2 linked regions of the Diceros bicornis minor genome follow. Each later gene encodes a partner of the first gene's protein in a complex. Links are inferred from orthologs where the notes say so. Each region holds a gene or a part of one and is shown in the gene's direction. Other genes may lie near its edges.

Region 1 (11,369 bases):
CTGCAGCACCCCCCCAGCCATGGCACATGAGTTGGGGGATGGGAGCCCAGGTAGGGCCAGGGAAGGTGACCCATAAATCTTCCCTTGGGGGTGTTGAGCCATTAATACCAGCAAGTAGAAGCTGGGATGGGCAGTGTCTGACAGCCAAAGAATCGAGTTTTGGCTTGCAGGGGTGGTTTTAGATTTGAGGTTTGCTTTAGGTTTACTATCAGGGATTATTTTTTTTTTCTCCTTCCTCCTCTCTGTCCCTCCCTCTCCTGTGTTTCTAAGCTAGGGAACACCAGTAAGTGCTACCCACCTCTCTGCGGCAACATCTCCAAACTGTTGAGTTTAGATGCTTCCCTCCTCCCTCTACTTTTTATCCTCTGCTCTTCCCTTCTATAAATTTTAAAACATTATCCTCCTCTGGCCGGCGGGTTGTCCATCTGGTCCTGCCTTCTCAGTATCTTTGACCATCGTTGGTGACTTTATGTTATCCTGGGTGAGGTGGAAAGGGAGTCTGACCTGGAACCAGATGCTACTCAGGCTGTATTCGATCCACTTCCCACACAAACAGGGAGCCACACATTTGGCACTGTTGTCCTCGTGTCCCTCATCCCAGAAGAGACATCTGCATATCCCAGAAAAGAAGATCCTATCATGAATAGAAGCTATGCGGAACATAGAGTCACCCATATGCTTCCCCAGAGAGGAGCTCATGTGTCTGAAGGGTGTATTTTCTTCTGTCATGTTGATGTTTCCTTCTTAATTTATAGGATTTTTTTTTAATGTAAAAAATTGCACTGAACTCTACAAACGTAAATGCTGCTTTTTGTAGCTCATATAAAAAAGGTCCCATATTTGTAGTATACTGCAATAATATTTTTTACATCCAGCTCTTTAAGTGATCCTTGTTCTGGTGGCTTTGTGTAAATATGTTTGCCCTAGTTGAATTAAGAAACTTTAAAAGTTATAAAATGAAAACAAAAATAAAGTATTTGTTTTCTGCTAGATGCAAAAATGACTAAGCATGTATATTTTATCAAGCTCATGTATTTTTTGAAGTTATGAACTATAAAAATGATAAAAGGAACATTGTTTAACATTTTTTGCTGGGACAAAATGGTTGGTAATTTACAGTAAGTGGCGTCCCCAGCAGTGGGATTTTTTAACTAATGGGCAGCAGTCTGCTGAGGGCATCAGAGGGATACTCAGTTATGACAGTCTCCCTCATGCTTGGCTGTTTTATACAGAGAAACAGATGGGCCCCACAGAGGAGGAGGGAAAGATTCAAGAGCTTTATTCTCTGGAAGCAGTGAGGTTTATAGTGATTGTCTGGGGGATTCCTGGGTTTCCTGGGTGCCTTGTTCCCGGCGATCCATTTGCCTTCCTAGTACTTAGGCCCCCTCTGACAATTTTTTTTTTAATATGCCTTTTGGGTTGGCTAGAAATTGAAGGAGAAATAGACCTGGGGGATGATAGTGTTGGGACAGTTTTCTTCCTCCTCTTGTTGGGAGGTGAGCACATTTATAGATCCTGCAAATTTTTTTTGCTTCATAGTTTCCATGCCTTCTGGCCCGTTATAGTTTACACAGTAAAGATTCCTTTTTTCATTTCTCTCATGACACCTACCAGAGGAAGTACCACCTCAATTCCTCTTGCTCCTCTTGCCTTTCACCCAGGCTCAGACCTAATTAACACACTGACCCAAAGGTCTTGATATTGCAGGTCTCATCTGTGGTGTAGTTAGCAGTTCCCTGTTCAGCATTTCCCTACCTATTCCTGTGGCTAGAATTGGTTAGGTGGTCACCTGACAGGAAAAACAAACCCTGCTTACCTGGGCCAAGGCTCTGTGTCTGCCTTTCTTCTCAAATTCCCAAAAGAAAAGGTTTTGAGTTTATGAGAAGCAAGTGCTGGGCAAACAGGGCTCTTGACTGAGCGTCCTACCTGTTCAGTGCTCCTCGTCTGGTTCAGAAGCATCACATTTTTGATAACTAGCACTGGAAAAATGAAATCGTCTGTTTGAAGTGAAGGAACTCATTTTTCTTTGCCTTCAGCCCATGTAAATATTTAAATGATACAGTATTAACACTTTTGTGCTGCTTCCCATTAGCTTGTAGATTGAGCCATACTCTGGCTGCCTCTGCCTTCCTGGGGGCAGTTTTCTTTAACTTCCAGGATAGTGATTTTAAAACTTAAAAAAAAGGAACAACAAAATAAACCTATCCTTACTTACAAGCATAACAGATTGTATTTATCACATATGATAGAGATATATATGCTGTAAAATTAGGGAAAGGAACTTTCTAATAAACCAATGATTTGTGGAAACTTAGCAGAGTCTGTCGTGATTGTTGCCCCATCCACAGAAGTGGGGAAGGAGTGGAGTTACGGGTTACAAATAACATCATCTTTGAAGTGATCAAGGAATAGATTCTTATGAACCAGTTGTTTATATTTGGAATTGTGCTTCTCAAAGCTCAGGCTGCCCAAGTAGAGGGGAAAGATTATGGCTGTGGGAGGAAGTAATAGTAGTTAAGTTTCTCTCAGTCATAGGTAGATGTCTTGGAGGAATGTGCACCTCCTCTCCACTCTCCCATAAGGATTTTCTTCTGTATCTACCTTTTTCCTCATTTTAGAAGATATTCTGTATATAGTAGAATGTATGGTATGTAGGTGCTTACTAAATGGGTTTGGAATTTCTGGCTTTGATTTTTTAGGATTTTGGATGAACTTCAGGGCAATGGGATTATAAGAGTCATCCGCCTGGCCTTTTGCCTTCCAGATGGAGTTCTGTACCAGAACCAGTCTTGCATTCTCCTCAACCCTTTAATACCGCTACAGTGCTTGAGAGCTACCTGGTAAAAGGAAATAAGCCCTAATGGTTACTGAGCAGATAAAAGCTATCTTCTGTATCACAAAATCACAAAAGGCAGAAAGTTTAGCATCAAAAGCTAACCATAGATTTGTAGTGATAAATTAATTTCTCTTCCTTGGCCTTTCAGGAAGGAATAGTAGATGTCTATTTCTTTCCTACTCTCTCATACAGCTGTTCTCCCTTTGACTAAAGAGAAACTATTCAACTTGAACCTTGGGTTGGATGCTCAGATCTGCCTATTTTCCTAAAATAGGAAAATCCCTGCCCAGAAAGAAAGGATGTCAGGAAATGAAGAGTGATTTCCTGCGCAGGCAGGGTGTCAGTGACCTGGCAGGCAGACTGGCCTGTAGAGAGTATGCTATGTGAAGGTATGTGCAGCGGCCTGATTCCACTAAGGGTTCTGCCTGTTTCAGCCACTCGAGCTTGACACGTGGAAGTACTCCCTCTTCTACACCCTCAATAACTAATTCAGGCCTTGTTAACCATTGCCATTCTTATTTGGCAGAGATACCTTCACTTCTCCCTTATCAACTCATGTCTGAATTATTGCAGAATTTTCCTGGCTGGCCTCCCTGACTCTAGAATCTAATTCCCTGTCCCATGTAAACTCACTGGCTTTTCAAAATCTGAGTGCAGTTCATTTTGTATTCACTGCTTCCCAGTAAAATTATAAGCTCTGAGAGGACAGGGACTGATTCTTATACTTGCTTTTTTCTTAACCCCTTAGAGTGTTCTACATAGTGCTGAACACATAGTAAACATTTTCATTATATGTTCAAGAAAGATGAGCAAAGTAAAATACCATTAGCTGAGGATTATGCATCAGGATTTAGCAAGGAAACATCAAAGATGATAGACGATTTTTTCTATATATCCTCTACATTACCTAGCTCAGTGCCAGGCACATAGAAATTCAATAATTGCTGACTTATTGAAGCCTTAACAGAACTTTGAGTTCGTTGAGGGATTCTAGGACTCAGGCCGATAGGATGGGAAAGTGGGAGCAATGTGTCAGCACTCCTCTGCCTGCTATCTCAGAAGGGAGGTCAACCCAGCTCTGACCCTGAAGGGACACACATGAGGAACAGAATCCTTATTGAATACCAAACCCCTCTCGCTTCCCAAATCTGATCCTCCACCTGTTTCCAATTTTGGTTAATGGTACCACAGTCCTACCAGCCAGCCATGCAACAAAGTTTTGAATTACTATTGACACCTCACTACCACATCCAGTTACTGCCTGTGAATCTCTGCTCTCTTTTGTTCCTGCTGTCAGTACCATGGTTCAGGCCTCATCACCTTTAGCCAAGAGAACTACAGTTGCTATCCATCTTCCCACTAAGTCTTGCCTCTTCCAGTTCCTTCCATCCACAGGCAGCCAGTGTAATCATCCAAATTGGAGCACAATTGATCAATGTATCTCTTATTCCCTGACAAAAATCTTTATGATTCTCCCATCTCCTACAGATTAAAGTTCAAATTGCTTAATATGACATTCAGGGACCTCCAATGATTTGACCCCAGTCTTCCATTCTACCCTCATGCCCCAGTGCACCCCTTTAAACACCCTATGCTGAGTCAACTACTTGCCCTTCTGTATAATTGGCCTCTATGTTCTTCTGCCACTCTCTTTGCTTGTTATTTCCTGTGCCTAAAAACCACTTCATTCTCTGACAAAAAGCAACATAGTGTAATGGTTAAGAATGTGAATTCAAGCACAAATGTGCTTGAATCCTAAGTTTTGCCACCCATTGGCTGTGTAAACTTGGGCAATTGACCTAAAATTCTCTGTGCCACAGTTTTTGTGTTTATAAAATAAGCATAATAGCACCAATTTCATTGGGTTGTAATAAGGAGCAAATGATATAAATGATTTCAGCTAGGTGTAATTGCCCTTTTCAAGGTATGCTTTCCTATCCCTCTGCCACAGTTCTGTGTGTGCATGTCTTAACTCCCTCTGGACTAAGTTCTCTAAGGATCTTTGACAACTATCTTTGTATCCCTTTTCACTCAGGGCCTTGAACAGAATAAATACGTATTAAAAACTTTAGTGAAATGTGAGTTAACATTGGGCTACACAGTATATACCAGTAATACAATACCACTCAGTTGAGGACAGGACACTAGCAGGGTGAAAGGTTGAGTTAAGTATTCATTCCAACAAATGTCTTACATGCCTACCATGAGCTTGGCACTAGGAATTCAGCAGTGAAGAAGGCCCAGACTGAAATTCAAGGAGCTTGTAACCTAGTAAGAGATAGGATTTTGAGCTGTGCGCTGAGGTGGTGAATTATGAGAGAAAGGAAGGAGCTGAAGGGATTCCAGAATGGCACAGGGCAGCTGGGCAGGATAAGACGATGGTTAAACATGATCAGAAAATATAGATCAGGGGCCGGCCCTGTGGCGCAAGTGGTTAAGTCCGCACACTCCGCTGCAGCGACCCGGGGTTCGCAGGTTGGGATCCCGGGTGCACACAGACACACTGCTTGTCAAGCCATGCTGTGGCAGCGTCCCATATAAAGTAGAGGAAGATGGTCACGGATGTTAGCCCAGGGTCAAAATTCCTCAGCAAAAAGAGGAGGATTGGCATCGGATGTTAGCTCAGGGCTGATCTTCCTCACAAAAAAATAAAAAAATAAATGAAAAAAATTAAAAATTAAAAAAATATATAGATCAAAAGGAGGATGTGGCTATATTCCTTTACCTCTAGCAGATCTCTTGAATTTCCTTCCTGAGCACCTGCTTTTTTGGGAAGACATGCAGCACTGTTGAGATTTGTCACTCCTCTTCCTCTCATCCATAGAAAATGACCTTGCCTTTCTGCTCACAACTACTCCTCTTTCCACTATGTGACTCCTTGTTTGCATCTTCCATCCTCAGTGCATGTTTCCATTCGGTCTGTCTCTCAGCAATACCTACTATATGTTGGGCTCTTGGCTAGACCTTGGGGCTGCAGAAAAGAACCGTGCTTTCAAGGCACTCATGGACACAATCCAGTGAACAGACCATGACTAAACCGTGTGATTGGTGTTGTGCCCATGTGTGTTAACCCCAGGGTGCCAGCCTGAGCAGTCGAGAGAGGCTTCCCCTAGGCAATGACTCCACTAGAATTGTCTTGATGGTTAGACAAGAGCTCTGTCACCCAAGAAAAAGTGAGGGCCTGCCTTGAGAAACTGAACAGCTGGTGCATAATCTCAGAGCCTGTAAGCCAGAATACCCTGGAATAACTCCACTTTATCTCCATCTCCTTTCCTCTCGGGCCAAGATCCATTCACCACCCCTTTCCCAGCACTGGCTGCACTGCTGTGGCCACATTAAGACTTGTCCCAACATGGAAGACTGAGGAAGCTGTTGCACCAATATGGCTGACTGAAGCTGCCCTAGGCCCTAGAAGGAGGAAGTGGATAAGTACCTTATCCAAAAGGATACAGCAGCCTCGGGTCTTATCAGGGGGCAGCAGCTTCCTTACTCCTTCCCCCACCTCTGACCAAGTCAAAACGTGCCACAGCAGTGCAGGCAGCTGGGAGGGGCTGGAGCAGGACGAGCTGTAGAACTGTGGGCTAGAGCGGAGCTGTATGCACCAGTTAGTTCATGGTTGCACTATCCCAAGCAGAAAGCAATGGTGCCTTTAGACTAGCACGGTAGTAGCAGAAATGGGGTGAAGATTCAAGAGATGCAGTTGAGAGGCAGAACCAACAGGACTTGGTGATAAAGTTCTCTCAGGAAAAGGGAGGAGTCATGGCTTTCAGCCATAAGCATCCACCCCCAGTATGGCCTCACTCCCTTCCTGGCAATCCTAGAAACCAAATGGGTCCAGGGCCGGTAGCCCTTATGCTCTGCCTGCTGCTCAGCAAGTGGGTTCCAGTTTGATAAGAGAAGACTTCCTGTGGTGAAAACTGAAAGGAAGAGGAAGGAGCTAGCCCATTCCTGCCTAGGAGGTTGTGGGAGAAGGAAGATGGCCAGAGCTTTGTGTCCACTTCATGTCCTCTGGCTTCTGGAGTGGATGCAGCTGCTCTTGGGACCCGGTACAGCCCCTCCAGCCTGGGCCTTGAACCTGGACCCACTGCAGGTCACCTTCTACACAGGCCCCAATGGCAGCCACTTTGGGTTTTCACTGGACTTCTACAAGGACAGCCGTGGGAGGTGAGCCTTGGGGGAGGTTTGGGTGTGGGGAGAGAGAAGGACTCCCACACCATCACTGCTTCTGTGGGCCTTGAGTTCCCCACTTATGATAGAAGTTGAGCAAAATGACTTCTAGGGTCTATGAGTTCTTGTTAGGAATACTGAGGAGGGACCGCCTCAGGTGAGGGTGTCAGGGAGGGTCACCAGTGGAGACATGGGCACTGAAACTACAACAAGAACAAGGGAAGACAAAAGTTGATGCCTTATTTTTTTTCCCCAAGTGTCAGTTGTATGTATCAATTCTCATCCCCTTGAAATACAGAAAGGAGCACATGTTTTAAATTGACTTGCAAAACTATAAAATTGTCTACCCACCGCAACCTTGCTTCTCTACTCCACTCCCTCATCCCCATCAAAATTATAGGTATTTGAAAAGCAGCAATAGACCATTAGTGGTTGGGATTGATCAGGCTGCAAAATCGGACTGACAAGATTAGAGTCCTGGCCCCTCCTCTTTATAGTAACTACCCTGAGCTATTAATTATTGTGGTGGACATTGTGATGCCCAGCTTCAGGGAGTGGCAATGGCAGATAGACTTCAAGTATCAGCCCCTAGGGGAATTTCCTCTGCTGAAGAGACCCAGCTACCCCAAAGTCAAGTCCCCTTCCTAATGTGGCCTACAATCAATGACTGATCAATGAGAAGTGTGGAGGCAGAAGAGGGCTGTAAGGGTCTGACCCTCTCACCTTAACTTGGGGCAGTTCTGAAGGGTCCTTCTAGCTCCAGAGCTCTCAGGGTGTGGGCCTATGATTGTCATTGGGCCTGAATCTCAACTCAACTCCTTCCTCTGCCGACTCCTGCTTCTTTCCCCACCTTTCCACAGATATTGGTTCATGGACACTACTTAATTACATCCTGCACGCTAAAAAAAAAATATATATATAGCATTTTTTTGAGCACTTGTTATTGTGTTATTTGGCTGGCACCATGCTGACCGTCCGTCATACATTTATTTCATTTACTTGTGATGGCATTGATTGGTTGCTACGGTCCCCATTTTATATATAGCAGAGCTGTGATTTGAACCTAGATCTACTAGAGTCCTCAGCAATATCAGCATCCCACCCACCACTTTAGAGGTGCCCACTGGCTTCCCTAATTCTTTACCATTAAAACTAGCTCTCAAGGCGCCAGCCGGTGGCTTAGCGGTTAAGTGCGCACGCTCCGCTACTGGCAGCCGGTGTTCGGATCCCAGGCACACACTGACGCACCGCTTCTCCGGCCATGCTGAGGCCGCGTTCCACATACAGCAACTAGAAGGATGTGCAACTATGACATACAACTATCTACTGGGGCTTTGGGGAAAAAAAGGCGGAGGACTGCAATAGATGTTAGCTCAGAGCCAGTCTTCCTCAGCAAAAAGAGGAGGATTGGCATGGATGTTAGCTCAGGGCTGATCTTCCTCACAAAAAAACCCAAAAAACAAAAAAAACAACTAGCTCTCAGGAAGGAATCTGGTAACAGTCTAACAGTCTCCAGAAAGAAGTTAGTAAACTGCTGGCTTTTGGTGGAGGGTGGGGAGTGTAGATGGTGTATGGCTTAGGAGGTCTTTTTCAGCAAGGATAACAAACCTCTGGTGTTCAAATCAAACCAAATGGTTATAGTCCCACCTTGACCCTTGATTCGCTGGGTTACTTTGGGAATGTGATTTCCTCTCACTGGGAGTCAGTTTCATTGGCCATAAAATGAAAAAGCTGGCCTAGATGGTCTGTGAAGTCTCACTGAGGAAAGATGATCCAATGCTCCCCAAGGCACACTGCCCTTCCGGTAGTGCTCCCAGCGCAGGCACCGGGCATGGGGTATCCAAAATCCACGCGGCGCTCATCCAGCTTTCTTACGCAGCGTGTCCATCGTGGTGGGCGCCCCGCGGACCCTGGGCCGCAGCCAAGAGGAGACGGGCGGCGTTTTCCTGTGCCCCTGGAAGGCCAAGGGCGGCCAGTGCACCTCGCTGCCCTTCGACCTCAGTGAGTCTCGCGCAAGGAGGGAAAGCGAGGGGCTAGAGGGAGGGTGGACAGCCGAGCTTCAGCGCCCCACCCTTTCTTGTGCCTTCCAGATGATGAGACCCGAAAAGTAAGCTTCCAAACTTTTCAAACCTTCAAGGCTCGGCAAGGACTGGGGGCGTCGGTCGTCAGCTGGAGCGACTACGTTGTGGTGGGCGCCGCGGGACCGGGCACAGGCAGCAGACGGGGCAGGGACACGTGGAGTGGGGGAAACCCGAGACTCGCCCCTTCCTCACTCTCCTGTGGCCCTGCCCCAGGCCTGCGCCCCCTGGCAGCACTGGAACGCCCTAGAAAAGACCGAGGAGGCTGAGAAGACGCCGGTAGGTGGCTGCTTCGTGGCTCAGCTCGAGAATGGCCGCCGTGCGGAGTACTCGCCCTGTCGAGCCAACACCATGAGCAGCCGTTACAGTAGAGGATACATGGGTGAGCGTCGCTCTCTGTTGTGGCTCCGCCCACTCGCGGCCACTTAGCCCCGCCCTTAATCTGATCTTCCCAGCGCCCCAAGGTCCTGCTTTCCATCCGGTGTCGCCCAATGGCCCAGCTCCTGGCCACGCCCCACCCCGCCCCGCGCCCATTCAAGTCCTCGCCTCTATGTTACCGCGGCCCCCACCCCTAGACGGCTCCGCCCCCGCCCCAGGCTCCAGGGCACGCTTCTTGATCCGCCCCTTCGCTGACCCCTCCTCCCTGCCTCGTCCCGCAGACAGGCGCTACTGCGAAGCCGGCTTCAGCTCGGTGGTCACTCAGGCGAGTAGAGAGCATACGCGGCGTGGGGGCGGCTGCCAAATAAGGACCCCTCTCACCTCCAGGACTTCCCTTTCAGGCTGGGGAGCTGGTGCTTGGGGCTCCTGGCGGCTATTTTTTCTTAGGTACGTGCCCATCCGTACACCTTCCCTTCTCTCTGCCTGGGGTCTCCAGGCCCCCACACCGCTGTCCCTCGCTCCCTAGGTCTCCTGGCGCGGGTTCCAATTGCCGATATCGTCTCGAGTTACCGCCCGGGCACCCTCTTGTGGCACGTGCCCAACCAGAGCTTCACACTCGACTTCGGCGGACAAGAGTACTTTGACGGCTACCGAGGTAGCCCGGGCACCTCCCTTCTAGTCTTCCCAGCACTCTGTCACCGCCCTCCCCCGCTAGTCAGGTCCTGCCCCTGCGGGAGCGCCCCCATGCCAACCCCTGCTGGCTAGCCCCAGCGCCTCTCCCTCTGCTCCCACAGCTTCCCCCACTTACCGCCCAAGTGCCCTACGCCACACCTCGCCCTTCACCTCGCCCTTCCCGCTCTGGATTCGCTGCGCGGCCTAGGGCAGGTCTTGGCCTGTCGGGGGCCTCAGTTTTCCTTTCTACAATGTGGAGTTTAGACTGGATGGTCTCGGAGTCTCCTCTTTCTTCGTTGCCTTCCTCAACCCCCTCCCTGCTTCGCCCTCCCGGAAAGACTAATTCTCGCTCTGTCTTCAGGGTACTCGGTGGCCGTGGGCGAGTTCGATGGAAATCTCAGCACTACAGGCAAGGAATGCACTTAGTCAAGGGCCAGGGTTGGGGAGCCCAGCCTGGGGAGGGGCACCTCCAAGCCCCGCACCGAAATCAACCCTGGGTGCGGAATGGCGGGCGGAAGGCGGGTAGGTTCAAAGGACCTCATTCACTGGGCCCGGCTCTCCCCAGAGTATGTCTTCGGTGCCCCCACCTGGAGCTGGACCCTGGGAGCGGTGAGTGCCCCCTGCCCTGCCACTTGGCATCCCAAAGTCCCTGGCTCCACTCCTCAGGCTAACACCACCCCCCACCCCAAACTTCCTGCCCTTTCTCACCTGGAGCGGGAGGCTGTCGTGGGGGCACGTATGACACGCGCCTGTGCGTTGTCCCCACAGGTGGAAATTTTGGACTCGTCCTTCCGGATGCTGCACCGGCTACATGGAGAGCAGGTGGGGGCCGGGTCCCTGTGGGAGTGGCCAAGGCTGGGGATTGGGACCCTAGAACATTCCACGAAGTGTGGGGGGCAATGTCTAAGAGAGGGTGCCATGTCCTGGGGTGGGAATTATGGTGCGCCTCGTCTTCCTGCAGATGGCTTCCTATTTTGGGCACTCGGTGGCAGTCACTGACGTCAACGGGGACGGGTGAGGAGGGGGCGCCCCAGCCCTACCCAGTTGGGTCCCCAATTACCAGAGGTTGACTGCCCTGGGTTTGCTGTCCTAGCCCTCACTCCCACGTGACCACCAAGGGGAATGAGAGAGTGAGGATGGGCAGTTAAGATTTGGCCCTGGCCCACAGCATCCCCTAACCCACCCCACTTAACCGCCTGTCTGGCCTGCAGGAGGCACGACCTGCTGGTGGGCGCACC
Region 2 (10,567 bases), about 2.0 Mb from region 1:
ATACACCAAGGACCTCCTTGAGTCCTCAGTGGCCCAAAAGAAGGCCTACCAGCCTTACGGGGTTCTAGACTCTAGGATTTCCCTGAATTCTTAACATGTAAGAACATCCCTTGGTTCTTAACATTTGAGATCACAGACCTATTTGAGAAGCTGGTGAAATATAAGGCCCATTTCCATAGAAAAACATATATCACACAAACTTCTGCATATTAGAAGGGGTTCATGGATCCCTTGAAACTCCTCCAGAGACTTCAGGTGAAGAAATCCTGTCCTTGGGTTCAGAAGGGGTAAGGGACCTGATACTTTAGGTCTTGGCAAGAAGAGGGGTCCATGAACTTGGGACAAGCTGGAACTTGCCCCAGTGTCACTAATTATGCCAAGGATCAGCCACAGATTGGGACAGGGGCAGGGGACCTGACCCAGGAGCTGTCAGAGGATGGCCAGTTTGACCAGCAAGGACCCTGCCCATAGGCTACAACATCCTCCTGCCTGAATTTGGCCAACATTGTCCAGGGAGCTAGTGATAGGCAGCTACAATGAAGCAGTGGGTATCTTGACTTGTAGGCAGAATTTGGGGATAGACTGGGAATCCAGCATAGATGAATTGATACTACGGGGAAAAATATAGCTCACATTTATTGAACACTTACTACATGCCAGGTACTGTGCAAAAAGGCTGAACTAATTTTTTCCATTTAACCCTCATTTTACAGATCAGGAAACTGAGGCTTAGTGAAGTTAAGCAACTTGCCCACTAGGTCACTGAGCTAGCAAATGGTGGAGCCAGAATTCAAATCCTGGCCACCTGCCTATTGTGCAGGCAATCCTTACAATACTCTTTCTCTTAGGAAGCTGAGTAACGAGGGCCTGAGAGGTCTAAAATATGCCTCTGGAGCCCAGCTGCATGTTTGGATTCACTGGAGCAGGGGTCCAAGGAAGGTGACTAGGGATTTAGAAAGATAGGAGAACAGGAATTCAGAGCCAGAAGCCAAGTAGCAGATCTGTTATCAGAATGAGGCATCACCCTGGCTTGGGGGTTGGATGGGGAAGGGGTCTGGATTAGTCTGAGATGGAGTGTGAACAGTCATGTGATGCCCTTTGTGGGCAAAGAGCTTGAATCCAGGCTTGGCCACGTGGTACCCTGTATGCTGAGCTGGCATGGAAAGACCTTGGGCTCTCATTTTTTCTTCTCCGCAGAAGAAGGTCTGGCTCTCGTGAGGATGAGGGAGGAGTAGCACTCCAAGACAGAAGTTGATTGTCTCAGATCCAACTGGGCTCGAGCTCTGAGAGGGAAGGGCCTGGTGTTCTTCACTACTGCATCCTCAGTGTCCTGAGAAGCACTTGGCACACAGCAGGTGACTGATATGTGCTTGTGAATGAATGTTTAATGCCAAGGCTGAGCTCATCCCTCCAGTACTACCTTGATAAAAATCTGGGGGTACTGGGGCAGGCCCCGTGGCATAGTGGTTAAGTTTGACATGCTCTGCTTCAGCAGCCTGGGTTCATGGGTTTGGATCCCGGGCACAGACTCACACCACTTGTCACCCGTGCTGTGACACACAAAACAGAGGAAGAATGGCAACAGATGTTAGATCAGGGTGAATCTTCCTCAGCAAAAAAAAAAAAAAGAAAAGAAAAACAAATTAGGGGTACTTTCTCAGATAGCTCCCAGAGCCCAGAAATTCCAAGCTATGTCATTTTTAGTCAGTGTGGACTCTGAAAAGCCCATTTTTCTTCAAGCCAAAGGAACAGCTGGGTCATCCTGCCAAATGTGTAGGAGGAGAAGATTCTGAACCAGTGTGCTACTCCACACTTAATCTCCTTAACTAGAGGAAAGCATTTGTGTTGAGAGGTCTACAATCTCTCCACAAATAATAACAATAATAAGAACATATTCTTCTGTGCTTTTCAGATTCCAAAGGGCTTTCATATCCATGGCCTCATAGAACCTCATAACAATGTGTGTATTTTGGGAGGGGGTAGAATGGGATTGGGGATGGGGAAAAGGGCAGGGAACAGATAGTTATTTCTTACAAATAAGGAAAATGAGTATAGAGAAGATTTGGAGACTATTTCAAGATCATCTAACTAGTAAGAGGTGGGGCAAGGACCTGACTCCGGAGACCTTCTGACTCAGTACAATGGGGAATTCAGCATGACCTTAAAGGCAAGACGTCCAGAAATGGCCACAAACCTGTTTTCTCCAACTTACAGTGGTGACAGTGAGGAACTTAATAGGAGTGGGGCTTCCCCAAGGGGGCAGACTGTTGATGAGAGCACAAGAAAAAGATCCCTATATTGGTGTTAGCCTGGCCACAGTCGGGCAAGGGGCCAGATAATGTGACTCTTGCCTCTTAAATGGATCTTGGGGAAACTCTTCTACCTGTCTGCATTGGATACCGCTCCGTGGTGATATTGACTGGGTAGTACGGCACTTGGCCAAATCACAGAATGGACACTCAGGTCCCCCAACGTCTTTGCTCAGCTAATATTTTATTAAAATTAACTATCGAGGGCTGCTAAGAAGTCAAAAAATAGGAAAAGATTTTTTTACTTACTAAGTGCATACTAGGAAATATGAAGATAGTCAACTACAGTCCTGCACTCAGGGATCTCACTGTCCAGTAATGGTGGAAGAGATGGAGGTAAATAGTCACAGAACTTCTGCTTCTGACTATGACAAAGTGACTGGTACAGGACTGGCTCTCCCATAGTAAACAACAATAAATTCAGGCAAAATATTTGAGGAACTGCTTTAGACATTGAACATAGGCAAAGCAGAATTATAATCCTTGAGGGAAGGGAAACACGTGATAGGTGAACCCTACATCTGCCCAGCTTGGGCTTTCTGGGGGGACTTTCTGAATTGCAGTGCAGAGCCTAAGATGGCGTGCATATATATATGCACTTACTTATATGTAATTTATAATTTATAAATATATCACTTATGTATTTTAAGTATAATTTATATATATATATAATTTATAATTATAAATTTTTAGATAATATCTAAAATATTTGTAATTGGAGTTTCAGAAGGTAAGGAGAGAGAAAATAGGCAGGAAAAAATTTGATGAAATAACTGAAATAACAGCTAAAAAGTTCCAATATATATATATATATTTTTTTTTCCAAGGAAGATCAGCAACATCCATGCCAATCCTCCTCTTTTTGCTGAGGAAGACCAGCTCTGAGCTAACATCTATTGCCAATCCTCCTCCTTTTTTTCCCTTTTTCTCCCCGAAGCCCCAGTAGATAGTTGTATGTCATAGCTGCACATCCTTCTAGGTGCTGTATGTGGGACGCGGCCTCAGCATGGCTGGAGAAGTGGTGCATCGGTGCGCGCCCGGGATCTGAACCCGGGCCACCAGCAGCGGAGCACGTGTACTTAACCGCTAAGCCACGGGGCCTGCCCTAAAAGTTCCTATATTTGGTTAAAAATAAACCGCTTATATATTTAAAAGTCTCATCAACCCCAAGTAGGATAAATACAAAGAAAACAATGCTTATTCACCTTACAGAGAAGCTGCTGAAAAACCAAAGACAAAGAGAAAACTTAAAAGTAGCCAGAGACAAACCTGGGACAATTTGAACAACAAAATAAATAATGATAGCATTGACTTATAACTCAGAATAAAATAAATATCCGTGAATTCATACTGATATAAATAATTGAATTTTAAAAACGGGAGAGAAGGGGCAGCTATTTCTTATTTGGAATATCAATTAATAGCTGTAGAAGGAAAAAAGGAAATAGAAAATTACTATCAATCAAACGCCACAGTAATTGATTGCAGTCAAGAACCATTGATGGATGCTAAGATTAGTGGGTAAAAGTATGAAGAGAAACAGGATATTTGCAAAGAATTAAAGTATCTTCCCATAAAATATTTATCAACTACAAAAATAAAAATAGTAACTTTTATAGTGAAGAAAACTGGCAGACACCACCTTAACGATGTGATCAAAGTCAACCTTATAAGTAGTAAGATATATTGTCATCCTGTCCCCCTGATATGATGTACTGACAAGGCACATCATTTTTGCAGTATTCTCATCCAGAATGCCCCAATACAATCATGAGAAAACATCAGACAAACCCGAACTTAGGGGCATACTACGAAATAACTGGCCTAGACTCTTCAAAAGTGTCAAGGTGATGAAAGACTGAGAAAATGTCATAGATTGAAGGAGACTAAGGAGACATGATGACAATACAATATGGGATCCTGGATTGGATTCTAGACTGGAAAAAAGACATTTTCCCATTGGTGGGAAGATTGGCAAAATTCAAATGTTGTATCTAGATTAGTTAATAGCATTGTATCAATGTTAATTTCCTGTGTTCAATAATTACGTTATGGTAATACAAGATGTTAACATTAGGGGAAACCGGGTGAAGGATAAAAGGGAACTTTCTCTAGCATTTTGCAACTTTTCTGTAAGTGTAAATGATTCCAAAATTAAAAATTAAAAAAAAAAAAAAAAGCCAGAGGGAAAAGACAGGACAAGAATGTAAACGATAGCTGATTTATCAGAAACCATGGAACAATATGTTTAAAGTACTGCAAGAAAAAAAATCACCTGTCAACCTAGGAATCCATATCTAAGAAATATCATTAAAAATGAGGGTGAAACAGATGAAAGGAGAGCATATTTGTTGCCAGTGGACCTTCATCACAATATTTGCTAAAGGAAGTTCTTCGGGTTGAAGAGACTGGGGACTCAGACAGCATGTTTGCTGGGCCAGTGGCCACCCCAAATGGTTGGTGCCAGCAGAGCTAGGCTGAGGAGACACTGAGGTGACTGGGAGGTTGGTTATATATATGAGAATTGAGCAAATAAGTAAATATCTATCTAGGCAGAGATGCAACCAGGCTGTGTGACCTGGATTTTGTACCAGGGCAACGACAACGCTGTTGAAGTGGCTTCTGGCCTAGAGGCCCTCCACCAGCTAGGGGAGGTCTATGGTGCTGGAGTCTCAAAGCCCAGATCAGGAAGCCCAGCTACCCTGGCCCCTCCCCTGCCCCTTGCAAATTGCCAGTGACGCTTCTGAGGATGTGTGCTACTATTTTGGTGTGTCCTAGTGTTTGGGAGGTCTGAGGAGGGAGTGCTCACCTCTGCAGAGGGTGGTGCTGGAGGAGGAGAGATATCAGACAAGATTACATGGAAGTGATGACATCTGAGATGTTTTGAAAGATAAGTGGAATTTTCCAGGTGGGAAAAGGAAGGAAGATCACTCAGCTGGAAAGGCATGAAGTGTTTGGGAATGCTAAGTATCTTCCTGGTCTAGGGTGGGAGATGAGGCTGCTGAGCTGAGTCAGTCAGGGCCAGTTTTCAGGCATCTTGTGTGTCTCAGGAGAGGGCTTAGAGGAGCCCAGGGGCAGCCTGAAAGCCCTTAGGGGAGCCCAGGGGCTAGTGAGAACTCCAGATCCTCTCTGACTCCTCAAGCCTTGTTATCATCATTAGAGCTACCCGTTGCAGCAGCCTGCACCAGCCCAGCCACTGGTGGCCTCCTGCTCAAAGCCCTAGCATTTAGCCCTTTGAGCATCCTGAGGTTTCTAGACTGGGGAAGACTCAGGGACCCAGAAGAAGGATTGTGGGGGAGGCAGGGAGGAGGCAAGAGGCCTTTGAGGAAAATACGATAAGCTCTAAAGCTTTATCAAGTGAGTTTGGAGGCAGTATATTGACTGTGTCCTGAAACTTTTTTCAGATACTTAATATGTGCAAGCAAGTATTTGTAGAGAGAGGCCCTATATGAACATCACTGCTTACACAAGGTTGAGATGTAGTCTTGTCCTCAAAAGGCTTACAGTCTACCGGAAAACCACACTAACCCAAGAGAAAAATTAGTTAATAATAAGAGACTAAACTGGTGTCCAGCACAGCGTAGGCATTCAACAGGTTTGTCAATTAAACAAATGAAAGTATGAATGAATGAAATTCAAGGCACAGAGGGAAAGTGCCTGAGGAATCCACGCGAAAGAGAAAGCCCTGTGGATGTCCCCGGAGAGGTGGGACTAGGTCAGGAGGGGCCACAGGCTCCCGGCCTTTCTAAGCATACCAAGTGCCTGGGCGCGGAGCCCTGGGACCAGCACAACCCTGGGAGAATGCGCCCGAGACCCTCCTCCAGACCCAGCCTCGCCTCTCATGCGCAACGAGGCAGATCCTCACCGCCGGAGGCTAAGCGGTGAGAGAGGAGCCGCGGTTTCCCACCGCCCCCTCCCGGGGGCAGGGTCCAGAAAAGGGCCAGCGGGGAGGAAGCGCGAGTCCGCGGCCCGCCCCGTTACGTCCCACCCACCGCGTCCCCTCCCCTCCCGCTGCGGGAAAAGTGGCCGCGGGCGCCGCTGCTCGCTGTGGGGCGGGAGGGCGCGGCCGAGGCGGAGCACGGCGGCGGGCGGACGAGATGCGAGCGCGGCGGCTCTGGGCCGCTGTGCTGGTGCTGGGGGCGCTGGCGGGCGTCGGCGTCGGAGGTGAGTGAGGCTCCCGCGCCTCGGGGACGCGGCTCTCCGGTGATCCACGCCGCGCGTCCTGCCGCAGCCAAGTTTGAAGACTTGGAGTGAGGAAACCCGGGCGGGCGGCTCCTGCGCGGGGCCAGGCTGGGTCGTCGGAGCCCGGAGCTGGGGACCTTCCCGACCCCGCAGTGGCAGGGTGAGAGGCTACCTACGGGCAGGTCCTCCGGGACGCCGAAGCCATTAGCCGGGTTAGGCGCCTGCCCCGGGCGGCCTCGCCGTGCGCGGTGCGGTGGGCGCATTTCTGAGCCCCGTGTTCGGCCCCGGCTGCGCGCGTCGCAAGTGGTCCCGGCCGTGCGAGGAATGACTGGCCGGAATAGGCAAGGCGAGCTGGGGCTTCCCGAGGCTGTTCCCGCGCGTTGGCGGAGGGATGTGGTTGTAGCTTCTCGGCTGCGAGTGTAGCGCGCGCGCGGCTTTGCCAGTTATTCGACATCCCTCTTTCTCCTTGTGTTACACTTTTTCTCAAGTTTTTTTTTTTGTGTGTGTAAATACTTGGTGGCACCCAGCGGGAGCGATTCGGAGAAAGCTGAGGGCTCTGCCTCCCACAGTGTTCCTGGGTGGCAGCGGTGCCTCTGCTTCCGGAACAGACACTGCGTCCAAAAGATCTCCATGTGTGCGAGGAGCCACGCCAAGGGTCCCTGGAGCTGGCTCGGATCCCTGGCTTTGTCTCTCCTGCTGCTGCACGCACCATCAGCTGCCAAGGCGGTTGGCATTCGGCCTCATTGGTGCTGGGGAGAGGATGGAGGGGCAGAGCAGAGCACAGCCCAGGGATGCTGCCCCTGGTCCTTCCGCAGCCCTGGTGACCTTCCCAGGGAGAACTCTGGCTCCTGGTCGGCTGGGGCCATTCCTCTGCAGAGGAAGCACAAATGTGCATATATGTACTTTTAATGAAAGGAGTAGTACTCATTGTAAGATAATTTAGATCCTGCAGAATGTATTAAAAAAAGTGAGATTTACTGATCATCGGTACATCAAAGTACTTTGATGACTGCCTTCAAGACTGTGTGTGTATGTGGATATAGATAGATATAGATATAGAGAGAGATTATACAGGACAGGGCAGCAATATCTTTTTTTGTGTGTGTGTGAGGAAGATCAGCCCTATGCTAACCTCTTTTTTAAAAAACCACTTTATTGAGGTATGAGTGACATACAAAAAGCTGTGTATATTTAATGTATACACCTTGATGAGTTTGGAGATAATATACACCTGTGAAACCATCACCACAATCTATGAACGCTATCTTGACGGAGGAGTTACAAATGATATATAGGGTGCTCTTTAAGCTATTATTGCTGAAACTTCCCATGTGAGAGAAGCCCAAACATGTCAATTGATGTCTGTAGCCTGCAGAGAGCAGCTTGATGACCATGGCACAGAAGTGTGAATCTCCAGCCTTCTGCCCTGGGAGATGTTAGAGCCTTGGTTCACATGCTGCTGCTGTTTATGGGGGCAGTGGAGAACTACGGAAGGGCTGCTCAGCTGTCTCCTACGGACATGCCTGCTTCTATGAACTTAAAACATTTTTTGCTTTCTTTTCTTTTCACATCCACAGCTTTCTGAATTTCTGGATGATTTCTGAGTCTAATCATATTTTCTTTCAGTTTTAGAAGTAAGTAAGGTAACATAAGAAAGAGCCTAGCATTGTGCTTGGTTCAATATTAGTGAAGATAGAGTGTATTTGTTATTTGAGTGTCTCTCCCTCCACCCTTCACTCCTAGTATATCTTTTGTTGATCTGGGTTACATAGTTGCAATGATCTATATAGGATTCCATTGTATTGACATACCTAAGTTTACATTAAATATCCTCTAGGAGGTCTCTTCACAGATTTGTTGTGATTGGGCGATTCCAGCAGTGGTGACTGATTGTGCTGAGCTAGCCCCAGGCTCCCTCTGAGAGGCAGGATAGAGTAGTATTTAAGTCTCGGGCTCTAGAATGAGACTGCCAGAGTAATAAGCCCCCAGTAAAAGCAGTTTTGATTATATTTAAATCCCCCACCCCAGTGTTGGTGGCTGGGTTGCAGGTGTCACCAGATCCCTGGGGAAGCAGGTGGCAGGATGAGAGTAGGAGAGCTGTGTTGGGACACACAATGTTTAAGGGACACAGAAAGAGCTGGGTAGGAGTGGCATAGAGAGGCTGTCCCAGAGTAGGAGAGTCTTGTATAGGGAGAAGAGAGGTTGTTTGAGGGTAGAATTGAGTTTTGGAATTTGAGTACAAAGATGATCTTTTTACCTTCATCCAAGAAGTATTGGGTTTTGTGGCTTCCCCATGTATAGGTCTTTATTCTAACCTGAGACCTAATGGATAAGTTTTGTTTGCTATCACCATCTAAGTACTTATGATGAGTTTTGAGCTGAGGTGCTGATTTCTCCTCTGGTGTTTACATCCTGGAAACTCTCCAGTCAAAGGTTCCTCTGCAGGAACTCCTCAGGGCCTGGAAAGATGTGGGAGGAAGGCTTGTTGGCTGGGGGAAGGGACAGCTATGGTTTAAAGCCAGTCACATGTGGGCTTAATTCTTGATTTTGCCTCTTATTGGCTGTGTGACCCTGGGCAAGTTACTCAATCTCTTGAGTCCTCAGTTTCCTCATTTGTAAAGCAGAGAAAATAATACTTCTATGCTTATGCCAATTAAATGAGATAAAGGCACAAAATAAATAATCAATACATGGCAACTACTATTGTCATTCTTCTTCCTATCCATGGTATCTACCTTGGATTGGAGGCAAGAGCTGCCCTGCTTCATGCATGAGTGCAATCCAGGCTCCCAGAATGAGGCCAATGGGGACCCTTTTCCCACACCTATGTGACAGGAGCCCCCTTTTTATTTCAACCCTTCCGCATTGGTGGCTTGGCATATTTCAGCCACTCTCACCCAGCAAGAACCCACAGAAGAGGCCAAGGAGGAGAGAGGCTCATCTATTTGCTTTATTCATGAGAAAACCTGAAGTCCTGTCTTGGGAAAAGAGAAAAGTAAAAGACATTCACAAGATTTCAGGTTCCATGAGGAGAAGGACATGTCTATTTGTTCAACACTCTATGCCCAGTCCTGGCACATAGGCGGCCAAAATAAATATCTATGGAATGCTATAGAAAGACATCTAGAGGTGATGTGCCTCAGTTTAAGAAATACAACATTTCAATATCAGCATTCATTCACAGAAGATCCTCAAATGCTCCCTCTGGGCATTCTGGAGGATATTAGAATGTAGCTGAGACCGTGGGTTCTTTGGGCATTTGGATCTCTGTGCTATTGTGCCATTTAGACCTCTGATCTGAGGGTGCTGGAAACTCAGGGGACCCTCTGTGAATTGTCTACCTTTTTTTCCCCTCCTGGGAGGAGACACACAGGAGGACAGCATTCTTCTCTGCCCACCTCAAAATTGTGAGTGTGAGTGGCAAGAGGTCTTCTGGGGGCAGCATAAGATGGGACAAGGAGGCAGCAGTGAGGAGGGGGAGTCTGGATATGACTCTGGAGTTTCCTAGTAGAAATTCCTCCTCTGCAACTCCCCACCCCACTTGGGGATCTCTGGTTATCATCCCCTCCCAGCCCTAGAAATCCTTCTGCCCTTGTTGGCAGGAATAGCCAGGAAGCATGCCCACAGGAACCACAACTCATGAATCAGCAGACAGATAATTAACTAGGGGAGTGACTGAGCAGCTTCAGGGATAAACCACTTGGCTTGACCCAGCCCCCTCTGCTGCCCACAGAGCTGGCCTGCTACTTCACTTCATTATCTTTTCCCTTCTTCCGAACCCCGGCCCTTCCTGAGTGGGCAGATCATTGTGCCTGATGGAGCTCAGGTCACTAGTGGAAATGCAGGTAGGAGCAGTGAAATGACATTGTCTGTTCTCCCTGTGTAAATTGCTGGTGTTTATTTAAATGTGAAACTCACCAGTAAAAAATTTATAAAATCTGCCTTTCTCTCCATGTACACAGTATCTCCAGGAACACGTTTTTTTTTTTTAAAGTTAGGTTTGATGAGGTATAATTTATGTACAATAAAATTCATGCTTTTTAGGTGTACAGTTCTTTGAATTTTGACAAATGCAG

Evidence for each region.
Region 2: the proteins of ITGA2B (region 1) and ITGB3 are in contact, whole or in part, in a cryo-EM structure (PDB 8GCE), measured with the Homo sapiens proteins. The link is inferred for Diceros bicornis minor from reciprocal best matches to the Homo sapiens genes ITGA2B and ITGB3. Residues at the interface, in NP_000410.2 of Homo sapiens: Gln49, Phe52, Arg72, Trp141, His143, Asn145, Glu152, Ala153, Glu154, Lys155, Pro157, Arg184, Phe191, Tyr197, Glu199, Phe202, Pro217, Tyr221, Phe222, Phe262, Asp263, Tyr265, Tyr268, Thr290, Trp293, Thr294, Gln315, Met316, Ala317, Tyr319; in NP_000203.2 of Homo sapiens: Ser188, Pro189, Tyr190, Tyr192, Ile193, Ser194, Pro195, Pro196, Tyr204, Asp205, Met206, Arg242, Asp243, Pro245, Lys279, His281, Ile282, Ala283, Leu284, Asp285, Arg287, Leu288, Ala289, Gly290, Val292, Gln293, Pro294, Asn295, Asp314, Tyr315.

What each region holds. Positions count from the first base shown.
Region 1 is NC_080757.1:42,952,482-42,963,850, reverse strand, and holds the start of ITGA2B (integrin alpha-IIb), read left to right. Parts: upstream 1-6,788; 5' UTR 6,789-6,812; coding exon 6,813-7,000; intron 7,001-8,882; coding exon 8,883-9,004; intron 9,005-9,093; coding exon 9,094-9,191; intron 9,192-9,297; coding exon 9,298-9,463; intron 9,464-9,740; coding exon 9,741-9,784; intron 9,785-9,860; coding exon 9,861-9,906; intron 9,907-9,985; coding exon 9,986-10,114; intron 10,115-10,492; coding exon 10,493-10,540; intron 10,541-10,696; coding exon 10,697-10,740; intron 10,741-10,899; coding exon 10,900-10,953; intron 10,954-11,092; coding exon 11,093-11,145; intron 11,146-11,342; coding exon 11,343-11,369. Other genes in the region: GPATCH8 (G patch domain-containing protein 8), read left to right, coding at 1-30. UniProt on the Homo sapiens protein: Integrin alpha-IIb/beta-3 is a receptor for fibronectin, fibrinogen, plasminogen, prothrombin, thrombospondin and vitronectin. It recognizes the sequence R-G-D in a wide array of ligands.
Region 2 is NC_080757.1:44,909,630-44,920,196, forward strand, and holds the start of ITGB3 (integrin beta-3), read left to right. Parts: upstream 1-6,402; 5' UTR 6,403-6,406; coding exon 6,407-6,473; intron 6,474-10,567. UniProt on the Homo sapiens protein: Integrin alpha-V/beta-3 (ITGAV:ITGB3) is a receptor for cytotactin, fibronectin, laminin, matrix metalloproteinase-2, osteopontin, osteomodulin, prothrombin, thrombospondin, vitronectin and von Willebrand factor.